3 linked regions of the Caenorhabditis elegans genome follow. The protein of the gene in region 3 binds, or shares a complex with, the protein of the main gene of each other region. Each region holds a gene or a part of one and is shown on either strand. Other genes may lie near its edges. The genes, in order: immt-2, chch-3 and moma-1.

Region 1 (3,752 bases), on a different chromosome or scaffold from region 3:
CGACAATTTTCACATAACTATCGCTTTTTATTTTTTAGAGATACATAAAAACCACATTTTGCGGTTTAACTATTTGAAAACTGGAATTTTTCTTTTTTCTAGTGGAATAGTAAAATGTGATAAATTTGCGATTTGGCTATTAAATTTAGGTGAAAATAGTCCAAAATCAAGCATTTCAGCTGAAAAACTGTAATAAAACTTCTCCTCGGGGAGTACACGAGCTGCGTAAATCGACACACATAATTTTCAATTTTTTTTCGTTCTTTTTTCAAAATTTTCAGGAAAAAATGCATTAATTCACAGGAAAAATTCGAAAAATCGACTTTAGAGGAGAAATTGAGATTTAAACGCAATTTTCTTTACAACTATGCCAAAAAAATGAATATTTGCCTTGCTATCAATCAATTTCTGGCTGAGCTGATCAATTCTCAAGTGAGCATGAGCCAAAATCGTGTGCAAATCCGCTTTTTTGATCTTCATTCCATCTTCATAATTCAAATTCGGATGAACTGCTTTCAGTTCCATTTGGAATTTCCTGCGGCTCTCCGCTACACGATCACTGTAGTCATGCACGAAAATACGCTCCGAATCGACATGTTTCACGTTTGAAATCATCTCATCCAGCTCGTTTGAGAGCTTTTCAGCAGTTGCTTTTGAGATTGGAACCAGTGGATTCAGCTGAGTAGTCTCACCTTGACCGCCGAGGTTTGCCTCCGTGACAAGGTCAGCGACGGCATTTCTAGCCAATTTCTCGGCTTTTTCATCCTTTTCAGCGAGCCGTTTTGCCTTCAGATGAGCAACAGTCACTGAATCCCAATCTCCGTCTTTTCCAGCTTCAATAGCCTCACGAATTGTCTGAACGTGATGCTCAATAGCTCGAATCGTTTCCAATTTGGCGCTAGTCGCAACTTTCGTGGCTTTTTCGGCTTGAGTTAGGTGGTTTTTCAGGGATTCCGTGAGCTTTTCGTTCCTTTCCTGGGGATTCAGTGGAGTCTTCGCGCCGATGTATGGATTTTCGGGCTTTTTCTCGATTTTCTTTGGTTCAGTAGTCTCTTTCAGGTTCTCCTTAACTCCGATCAGCTCTTTTTTCACGGGCTTCGGCTCAAATGGCTTTGGTGGAACTTTCGGATCTGCGGAATATTGCAGAGGTCGAAGATCTTTAAGACGAGGCGCCGGCGGTTCTTCTTCTCCGATCGTGTAATTCAAAATAGTTCGAGAACCGGGAATCACGCCTTCTAGCTGGAATTTGATTTTTTTTTTGTTTTTTTTTAATTTTAAATTTTAAAACCTTCTTTCTGAACTCATTATCATAAGAAGCGTATCCAGCAACTCCTGCTGCACCAGCAGTTACCGCTCCAACAGTGGCTCCGACAAACTTGAGACCTCCCGAAGAACCAGTTGCTCGAGAAGAAGCCAGTCGCTGAGTCTGAAAGTTCCCGAATTTGATTAATATTTAATAAATATGAACATACCAATAAATTACGACTTCCACGCATGACTTTTGAATTAAAAATCTGAAGAATAACACTCAAAACCGCTCGAAATGATTGAAAAATTGGAAAAATTATATAAAAAAGATTTTTAAATCTGTTTGACGTGTCACGTACTTTCGTGTACACGGTCACGTCAGAATGCAGATTTCAAAGTCTACCGTAGTCCTGGATTGTGAACTCGATAGATTTTTTGACATTTTTTGGCAAATTTCAGCGAAGCAGAAGAGTCTTCATTGGAAAAATGGTTTCCTCTCAGCTAATTGATTTCAAATCGGCACCCAAGCGCGCACAAAAGCTCATCGGCAGCGACTTCATGGTGGTTGCTGCATAATTTAATCTGGCGTTCTAACTTTTTAGTTTAATCTGGCGTTCTAACAGCGAGATTTTCCAATATTTCAAAAACAATTTTTTAGGTTCGATTTCTAATTCGAAAATTTGAACTTCCAGAACAAAACAATCTAGCTGAAATAAATGTTTGTCTTAAGTATTTTCCAAAAAATGCAAATTTGCTTCAACAGGACAGCTAGATTTTCCAATAATTCAAAAACAATTTTTTAGGTGCGATTTCTATAGTTGAAACTTGGAAAATGATTTTTCTCAGAAATTTGAACTTCCAGAACAAAACAATCTAGCTGAAATAAATGTTTGTCTTAAGTATTTTCCAAAAAATGCAAATTTGCTTCAACAGGACAGCTAGATTTTCCAATAATTCAAAAACAATTTTTTAGGTGCGATTTCTATAGTTGAAACTTGGAAAATGATTTTTCTCAGAAATTTGAACTTCCAGAACAAAACAATCTAGCCCTAACAACTTGTGTCTAAATTATTGGAAAATCTAGCTTTTCTGATGGAACAATTTTGGAAGAAAAAATAAAAAAATTTGTTTCCTCATTTGTTTCGATCAAATTGTCATTGTTTGTTTGCAAAAAAATATAAAATATATTTTCAGTTACACCAATTCATTCAATAAAGAAAAAGTAATAATTCAATCAAAACATACACATATATAAATAAATCTTCGGGCGTATCATTAGACAAGAAAATCTGATGAAATTTCAAACATTTTTTGCGGTGAAAAGTGAATAGAAAAGAACAAATTTTGGTAAAAATTGGACAAATTTGGAAAAAAATCGGGAAATTTTCGAGGATCATATGGCAAATTTTGTGTGCGCTGGGTGGGGGTTGGATTCCGATTTTTTGGTGAAAAACGGGGAAAAACGTAAAAATTAGGAGGATTTTTCGACTAGGAATGTTTTAAGAAATGGGTGTGGGAACACAGGGAATGTGAGTGAGAAAATTTGGAAAAAAAATTATGAAACAAGAAAAAACGAAATAAAATTTAAATGGATATGTGACAAGAAGATGCAAAAAATATGAAAAGTTTCTCTGGGGGTCCTGCTGCTGGATATTATACGTAGACCGGAGTCACATTGTGCTCTTTTTCGTAAGCCTGCCACCTCACATCATCACTTTCATGAGTTACGAATCGTTGACCGACAGCTTTTTCCAGTACTCGTAGATCCGACCATAGGGTGTAGTTCTGAAAAAAAAAGTTTTTCAATTTTTTCGTAAAAAAATTAATTTTCGAAATTATTTTTTATTGAAAAACCAACAAAAAAAAAATGCATTTTTTGCAATTTGTATTATTTTTTTTCAAAGGATTTTTGCGCTTAAAACAATTTTTATTTATCCTTAAAAAAATGTTTAAACCGATTTTTCTGTAAGTAAATTTTTTTTCGGATTTTTGGATTAAAATTATTTTTTTTTGCAATTTTTCTTTACTTTTTTTGGATTTTTCTAAATTTCATATGATTTTAAAATGATTGCAAATTAAAAAAATACAATTTTTTTCTAAGTTTTTCGGATTTTTTTCCCGATTTTTTGCAGGTAAAACTTTTTTTTGCTATTAAAAAAAAATTTCAAACATTTTTTCTAAATTCGAAATTTTTTAAAGCCGATGTTTCGGATTTTTTCAAATTAAAAAAAAAGAGATTTTCGTATTTTTTCCTGATTTTTGTGTTTTTTCCCCAAATTTTGAAAATTTTAAATTTTCGTTAAAAAAATATTTTAGAATTTTTTTTCACAATTTTTACAGTAGAAAGTAAAAAAAAGTTCAGCTTTCAATTCACAGAAAAAATCTTTAATTTTCTTTTTTTAACTTTTTCAGCTCGAAAAAATTTTCGCTGCGAGACCCAAAAAAGGTCTCCATATGCCTACCTGCATCCAGATCTGCGACTGCGCTTTCGTCACCGTATACCG
Region 2 (3,752 bases), on a different chromosome or scaffold from region 3:
ATTGGCCCGTAAATCGACAAGAGTTACAGTAACCCGTTGATCGTGGCGAGACCATGTTATCTGTAGACGACTACGTAAACGAGGTGTCCATATAATAGTTTTAAAAAGTTAGAATCTTGAAAGTCAACAAGACCACACAGTAATAAATTCGAACCTAGTCAGGTGTACTGGCGAGAATCAAATCTGAAATCTATTCAAAAATAACCCGTTTTACCTCATTTTTCTGGTGATAATACGGAACCGCCCATCATCAGTCCCACTGCGTTGTGTGTCCTGTTGTTATCAGCTGTGTTTGTGTACCAAAAAAAATTTGCTACAACGCGTAGCTGATTTTTTAAATATTCTGAAAATATAGTGAAAAATATCTGAAAATTAAGTAAGGGGAAAGATGGGTACAGGAGCGAAATGCCTGTTTTGATTTTGGAATATATAACTTGAAAACGGATTTAAAAGTTCCCTAGAAGTTTATTGTTTCGTTCGTGGAACAAAAAAATTTGAAATAAAAAAGCAAAAGTTTTTGGGTGGGAGGCTGAGGGGGAAATACAAGTTTTGAGAAAACGGGGCACGCACACACACCTATACAACACTACGATCAAAAAAATGTGGGGAAATATGAAACAATGTATTTAAAAATCGATATGAAGAAATTTAATTTCCCTTGAGCACTTGTTGCCTGAACTCGCCGACACATTTCTCGAATGCCTGAAATTATAAAAAGAAAATAATTTGTATCACAATTTAATTAATTGTAGCCTACAAACTATGTAAACAATTGTTTGTTTTATTGAACTAGTATTTGTGTTTTTTAGAGGGATGAAAAGGATATGCCTTCAAAATTTACTCTAAATGTTCATAAATTTTGGAATTTTGCCAAAACTTTCATTTTCGGAAATCTTCAATTTTTTGAAAAATTAAAAAAAAAACCTTCCTGGTATTTAGATACTTTAGTTTTTCCTAAGTTGAAATGAAAACAAAAAAAATAGTTTCAAAATTATTCCCAATTTGAGAGTTATGCAAGACTTCAAATAATTCAAGTGGGTTAGTGATTGTTTTAAAACAATTTTCACAACTTTTATATTTTTTTAAATTTTAATTTTTTACTTTGCTCGTGATTCTAAAAAATTTCCCAAGTTTACCTCAGTAAGTGGAGCACACTTCAAAACACGTCCTGGATTTTCTTGAAGACATCTTACAATCTCCTGAAAAATGTTGGATATTCTCAAAAACTTTCTCAAATTAAAAATTACATTTTCATTATCCTGGCACACATTTTCACGGTGATAAGCGAAGAATTGCTTCTGAACGCGTTCAACAGTGTCATCGAAAATTTTCTTTCTCTCCTCCAAATCATTTCCGGAAATCGAAACTGGGGCGGCGGAAATTCCAGCGGTCTGAAACTTTTAAGTTTAATCCTATCAGGAAAGATTTTTTGATTTTTACCTTTCTCTGTTGCAGCTGACTGAGCTTAGCCATATCTTCTCTTAATCTAGCTTTTTCTTCACGCTCTCGAGCCAATTCTTGTCTGAGACGGTCACTTTCTCCGTCGTTTCCGGCAACTCTGGTCGCATTGACTCGGCTCACAACGTCCGATGATACACCGACGGTTCTGAAACGTTGAATAAATAAAAACTTCCTAGTTTCAAAAGAATTCCCAACGTAAAAAACTCACTTGTACTCCTCGGGAATCTCATTTCGGTCAATGCGCACCACTTCGGGACGTGCCTCTTGTTCTGCACTCTGGGATGCTCCCATCTGACAATTATCGATTAATAAAAGTTTAAACAGACACGAGAAATTAAATATAAAAAATTGAATTGTTTATTTGTTGTTTTGTGTGTAGAAAAATAATTTTGATAGAAACAAAAAATTAGCGTAAAATAAATAGCTAGCGCAATACTCGTGCACGAGATGTGCGCCAGCAGCTCCTTGACGCAAAACGTGACGTTTAGCACCAAAATGATTTTTGCTCTTTGAGTTCTTTGTTTTCGGGAGCAAATTTCATGCCAATCCCTTTCTTTTTTTCAAATTTTCCTGTTAAATTCATGTAATAACTATTATTCATGTCAATTACAACAAATAAGCATCCAAGATTTTATCATAAACTCGTTCAAACCTCCTTTTACCACTCGAAAAGCAATATCTCCGACTTCCTTCAAAGAGAAATGATGACAAAACATAGAAACCTCACGTTATACGTTTTGTCATCACGATTTCAGTGCTCACTTTTCTCATTTCATTCTCGCTTAATTTCATTTTTGTCACTCTCGCGTCATGTTTTGCATTTTTCGAAAGCATTTATTTAAAACTGAAAAAATAATTCGTAATTTTTCAAGAATGGCTCAAAAAGATGACCGGATTTTGCTGTTGAATGCTCCAAGGCTCCCGCTCGAAGATGATAAGCTCAACGAGCTCACCGCTGATCTTCACGATTGGGCTCATGTAAGTTTTTTTCTTAATTTCCGAATTTCAATGAATTTTAAACATCTTTCAGGCTAATGGGCTTGTCATGCGTCTATCAACCGACAAGTTGAGCAGCGAAGTTTGTCAAACTACTCCATTAACACTTCTTCCATCTCCATTCCCGAAAAATGTTTTTGAAGAAGCAGTTCATATTCAGAACCTTTTCGCAAGTCTTTATCACTTCATAGCTTATGAATTTGATTTTCTAATCGATATTCATAAAAATGTCGTGAAAACTGATGATTTCACACGGAATATGGTTGAGATCTTGAAGAAAGTCAAAGCCCAAGGACTCAAGCAACCAGTCACTCTCGCGATTCAACGATCTGATTATATGTGTCATAAGGATCAATATTCAGCGGAATATGGACTGAAACAAATTGAAATAAACAATATCGCCTCGTCAATGGGAGCACATGCTCTACGGCTCACCGAATGGCATATCAGAGTTCTTAAAGCGTTGAACATTTCCGATGACGTCATTCAAAGAGCAATTCCAGAAAACAAGCCAATTCCAATGATCGCTGAAGCTTTATTCAAGGCCTGGTCCCACTTTTCGAACCCAGCAGCTGTGGTTCTTGTCGTTGTAGAAAACGTCAATCAAAATCAGATTGATCAACGCCACGTGGAATATGAACTTGAAAAGTTAGGAGTACCGATGACATGTATTATTAGAAGAAATTTAACACAATGCTATGAACAGTAAGTTTTTGTATTTGAATACAGAATTCTATGTTAAAACTTTCAGATTATCATTGAATGATAGAAGCGATTTGATGATTGATGGGCGTCAAGTAGCAATTGTTTACTTCAGAGCAGGATACTCACCTGATCATTATCCATCTACAAAAGGTTAGCACAATTTTATCAACGTTTAGCTAAATTTTTCTGATATAACTCTAGTAAATTTATTCTTATTAGAAAGTTTTTTGAAACATTTCCGATTTGTTTCAGAATGGGAAGCACGTGAGCGTATGGAACTTTCCACCGCTATCAAAACTCCATGGATCGGGCTACAGGTGGCAAATACTAAGAAGACCCAGCAGGTTCTTTCTGAAGATGGAGTACTCGAAAGATTCATCGGAAAACCACGAGAAGCTCGCGATATTCGAGCTTCATTCGCAGGAATGTGGGCTTTGGAGAACACTGATGAAGTGACTATGAAAGTCGTGGCTGGAGCTCAAAAACATCCAGAAGCGTTTGTTCTGAAGCCACAAACTGAAGGTGGAGCCGCATTGCACACCGGTGATGAGATGGTTCAAATGCTCCGAGAACTTCCGGAAGAAGAGCGT
Region 3 (3,718 bases):
AAGCCTAAAGATGGAAAATGGACATCACGTTTTATTAAAATGGATAATATTAAAATGAGGGGAAATAATACACAAATCGAAAAAAAAGTGGCGGGGTGATTATATGCCAAAATATGTACGAGCCACATTAAAATCATTTATAGCCATACATTTACACCCACTGAAAATTCAAAATTTTCTTGAAATTAAAATGCCCACCCATAATGCTGATCCCCCGCTGCCCTCTCGCCTTCTCACCAGAGATGTGCTGCACCTTTTTTGAAACTTTCGGAAAATTTACAAAATTTTTCTTTTTTCGTTGTTTAGACGAAGTTTTTATTGGAAATTTAAATTATTTTGATTTTGATTGAAAGTGAAAAGTTCCTAAAAAAAAAGTAAAAATATTTCTGTGTTCCAATATAAATTTTCCAATTTTATCAACAAAAAAATGTGCCGCGCCTCTCTTCTCACCATCCCCTAGATTAAATTTTTGCGGGTGACTTTCTCTCCCTTCCCCACCCTCGCCCGTTCTATATATATATTATATACATAAGATTTATTTTCTTAATTTGTCCAAAAAGTGCCTCCCTTTCTGTTTTTCTCAGTTTTTTTTTCTTCAAATTTTGCATAAAAATCGCATTTTTATTTCACTACTACAGGAACACTGGGTTCGGCGCACACACAAAAAAAGAAACCGCTAGACATTCGAGTGGATATTTTTTACACACAAACAATTATTTTCCAATTATTTCGGTGGGCTCAAGTTAGTTTTGACGATGGCAGATGGAGTTGGAGCTGAAAATTTTATTTATTTCTCTCTGATTTTCAGAAATTTCAAGCCTACATTCTTGGAAGGAATACCAAGTTTGTTCAGCATGAGCTCTTCCGGTCTTTGCCACGTCAACAGCCTCTATCGGATAACAAAAGGCGGCCATCGTGGCCAAGCCGATGGTAGTGGTGAGGAGACGTCCGACCGGGCCACGTTTCAGGCCTAAAACGAATCCGGCCATTCCACCAACGGTGATTGCTGCGGCTTTTGGAAGAGCAGTCCATTCTTCTGTCAGATATGCATTGCATTTGGTCGCCGCTTTTTTTGTTTGAGTCATCGCACAATCGACAACTTTGAAGCGTTCCTGAAACAAAAATCGGTGATAAAAATATATTTTTCACAAAATTAGTTTAATTTTTACTTTTACTCAATTTAATGATATTAAAAATTTTCAATTTCCTCTCGAAAATGGATATTTTCAATGTATTTTTTTCTTTTGTGAAACACATTCGGTTTTCACTTGAAAAAACTACAGATATCAAATAATTACTTAAATACAAAAAATTAGCTAAATAAAATAATCCAAACTCTTCTTTTAAAAAAAAACCAATTAAAAACGAAATATAATTTTTTCTCCACATAAAATCGCGTAAAACTCACAGCAACACGATCATACTCCTGCTCACATGCGATACGAATAGTCGCGAATTCTCTTTGAAGAGGAAGTGGCTCTTCTGGAAGGAATTTCTGCTTCAGTGGAGCATTATCTTCAGCATAAATCGGAAGTTGCTCAATCTTAATAGGTTTTGAATCTCCATTATTCGTCGTGTTTTTCGAGGTGACAAGTTGCCAGAATTGTCCAAAAACATTTGTCACTTGTTCACCGGCGTTTGAAATTGTCTCCACAATCGGCTTGTCTTGTGTCATCTGGAAAATCAAGCGGTAAAACAATAAAATAATAAAACAAGAATAAATATTTTAAAATTGATTAGCTTATTATAATTATTAAAAAACCATGAAGAAATAAGTATTCCTACATTTGTGGCGCAAAATATCTCGTAGCGCAGGCTCTGTGTCGATTTACGGAGTTTGTGTTTATTCACGATGCGCCTTTAAACAATTATTTAAAATTGATTTTCTTTGTATTTAATTACCACTTTTTCATAAATCGACACCGACGCCTGCGCTACTATATATTTCGCGCCAGGCTTTCTTGTTTTTTTTTTAAATATTTTCTAACATTTAAACCCCTCTGAGGACGGTTTTAAAATTAAAATAGATAATTAACAGGCAATTAACCATGTCTTTAACCAATCCAAATTACCCTTAAAACACCCAAAATAATTTATTAAAAAAACGAAAATTGGGGAGATCTTTTGCATAACAAAACAGAAGAATAATAAACAAAGGATGTTCAGAATTTGGACAGTTTAGAATGGGGTTTTAAAATGGAACGTCAGTAATGGAAGTTTAAGAACGCGATCTTCTGCCGGCTGGAGAACGAGAGCGGCTGGCACGGCGGAATCTGTTGGGCCCTCCAAGTGGCATATTGTTGGCTCCTGAGCCACGGCCGCCCATTGGAGAACGTCTGCGATGTGGTGGTGGACTGCGGCCTCTGGAATTTGATGAAAATTATCAAAATATACTACTTTTCCTTGATTACTTACCCTCTTCTCATTGGTGACATTCTGTCTCTTGGTGGCGGCGAGCGTCTTCTAAATGGAGAACTTCTACGCTGGAATGGGACAGATTGTCGTCCGATAGTCATTTCGACGTGAACAGCCATTCCATCGATTTGTCCTCCATCCATGTGCTTGATCGACTTTTCGGCGTCTTCCAAATTGTCATATTCAACGTATCCATATCCACGATGAACATGGTTATGGAAGCGATCTGGTGGAAGATCGACATTCTTGATGGCTCCGTAGATCGAGAAAATCTCCTCGAGGTGCGTTTTCAGAACATTTCTGCTCAAATTTTTGATCACTACACGCTTGGCCGGACTGGCTGATCTTGCTGCTGGGCTTCTCCTCGGAGAAGCGCGTCTCCTCTGACGGCTCCCGCTTCTGTCACGACGATCACGACGTGGTGGCGATGGGGATGGACGACGGCGACGTGGTGGTGATGGTGATGGTCGCATTGGGCGATCGCGATCCGCGCGTGCTCCTCTTGGCGGTGAACCACGACGGATTGGAGAACGAGAGCGTCCTCCACGAGCTGGTGGGCGGGTATCACGACGACGTGGTGAGCGAGAACGAGAACGGCCACTGGACGATGAGCTGGAGGAGCGAGATCCTGATGAACTACTTCTGAAATATCGATTATTAAGCTATTGTATGAAAATTGTAAAGCATACCCAGAAGATGACGATCCAGAGCTACTGGACGAGCTGCTTGAAGACGAGCGAGCCCTCTTTTTGGTTTCTTCTTTCTCAACCATACTGAAAAATTATTTCATATACTCGAATAGACATCAACTAAGTAAGAAAATTTTCACCGCGTGGTGTTCGAGCAGAAGAAGAGACAGAATGTTGGCTAAAGCGCTTACTTTTTTGAGTAAATAATTAACCAAAAACAAGAATTACGGATTTTCAAATAAATTTTTAATTGAAAAACAAGAAAAAACCTATAGAAAAACTATAGAATTGAAAATATCGAATCATTTTTCGAAGAGACGCGGGTGAATGATTTACGGTAAACAACGCGCGCGGTGGAATATCGGAGTGTCGTTGCAAAACAAAACACTTTCGTTTTTTTTTTCAATTTCAAAATGGACTCTGCAGAATCTGAACTTTTAGAAGAAGAAGAGCTCCCAGAAATCAAATATATCGACTCTGCAGAATTCCAAAATTTCGATAATAACGCTGATCAGCGTGAAATTCAGTTTCGATGGATGGAAGCATTTGAAACAAAAGGTAATTTTTTCCCAAAAAAGTATTTTAGCACTAAATTCTTTTGCAGAACCAAGATG

The links.
Region 1: moma-1 (region 3) and immt-2 share a complex: the UniProt entries of both Caenorhabditis elegans proteins name them as parts of the mitochondrial contact site and cristae organizing system (MICOS) complex.
Region 2: moma-1 (region 3) and chch-3 share a complex: the UniProt entries of both Caenorhabditis elegans proteins name them as parts of the mitochondrial contact site and cristae organizing system (MICOS) complex.

What each region holds. Positions count from the first base shown.
Region 1 is NC_003283.11:16,787,123-16,790,874, reverse strand, and holds the start of immt-2 (MICOS complex subunit MIC60-2), read right to left. Parts: upstream 1,609-3,752; 5' UTR 1,497-1,608; coding exon 1,473-1,496; intron 1,427-1,472; coding exon 1,289-1,426; intron 1,240-1,288; coding exon 391-1,239; intron 1-390. Other genes in the region: Serine/threonine-protein kinase dkf-2, read right to left, coding at 2,902-3,033, 3,711-3,752. UniProt on the Caenorhabditis elegans protein: Sustains mitochondrial morphology probably through maintaining cristae morphology. May act as a component of the MICOS complex, a large protein complex of the mitochondria.
Region 2 is NC_003280.10:9,415,013-9,418,764, reverse strand, and holds chch-3 (MICOS complex subunit MIC19), read right to left. Parts: upstream 1,753-3,752; coding exon 1,670-1,752; intron 1,607-1,669; coding exon 1,441-1,606; intron 1,392-1,440; coding exon 1,248-1,391; intron 1,200-1,247; coding exon 1,137-1,199; intron 847-1,136; exon of another isoform or gene 758-846; intron 703-757; coding exon 649-702; 3' UTR 449-648; downstream 1-448. Other genes in the region: gss-1 (Glutathione synthetase), read left to right, coding at 2,335-2,439, 2,492-3,162, 3,209-3,312, 3,415-3,752. UniProt on the Caenorhabditis elegans protein: Plays a role in maintaining mitochondrial morphology. May act as a component of the MICOS complex, a large protein complex of the mitochondria.
Region 3 is NC_003281.10:850,722-854,439, forward strand, and holds moma-1 (MICOS complex subunit MIC27), read right to left. Parts: upstream 1,676-3,718; coding exon 1,409-1,675; intron 1,113-1,408; coding exon 824-1,112; intron 775-823; coding exon 725-774; 3' UTR 610-724; downstream 1-609. Other genes in the region: rnp-5 (RRM domain-containing protein), read right to left, coding at 2,219-2,363, 2,416-3,057, 3,105-3,187; tag-51 (uncharacterized protein), read left to right, coding at 3,518-3,662, 3,709-3,718. UniProt on the Caenorhabditis elegans protein: Sustains mitochondrial morphology probably through maintaining cristae morphology. May act as a component of the MICOS complex, a large protein complex of the mitochondria.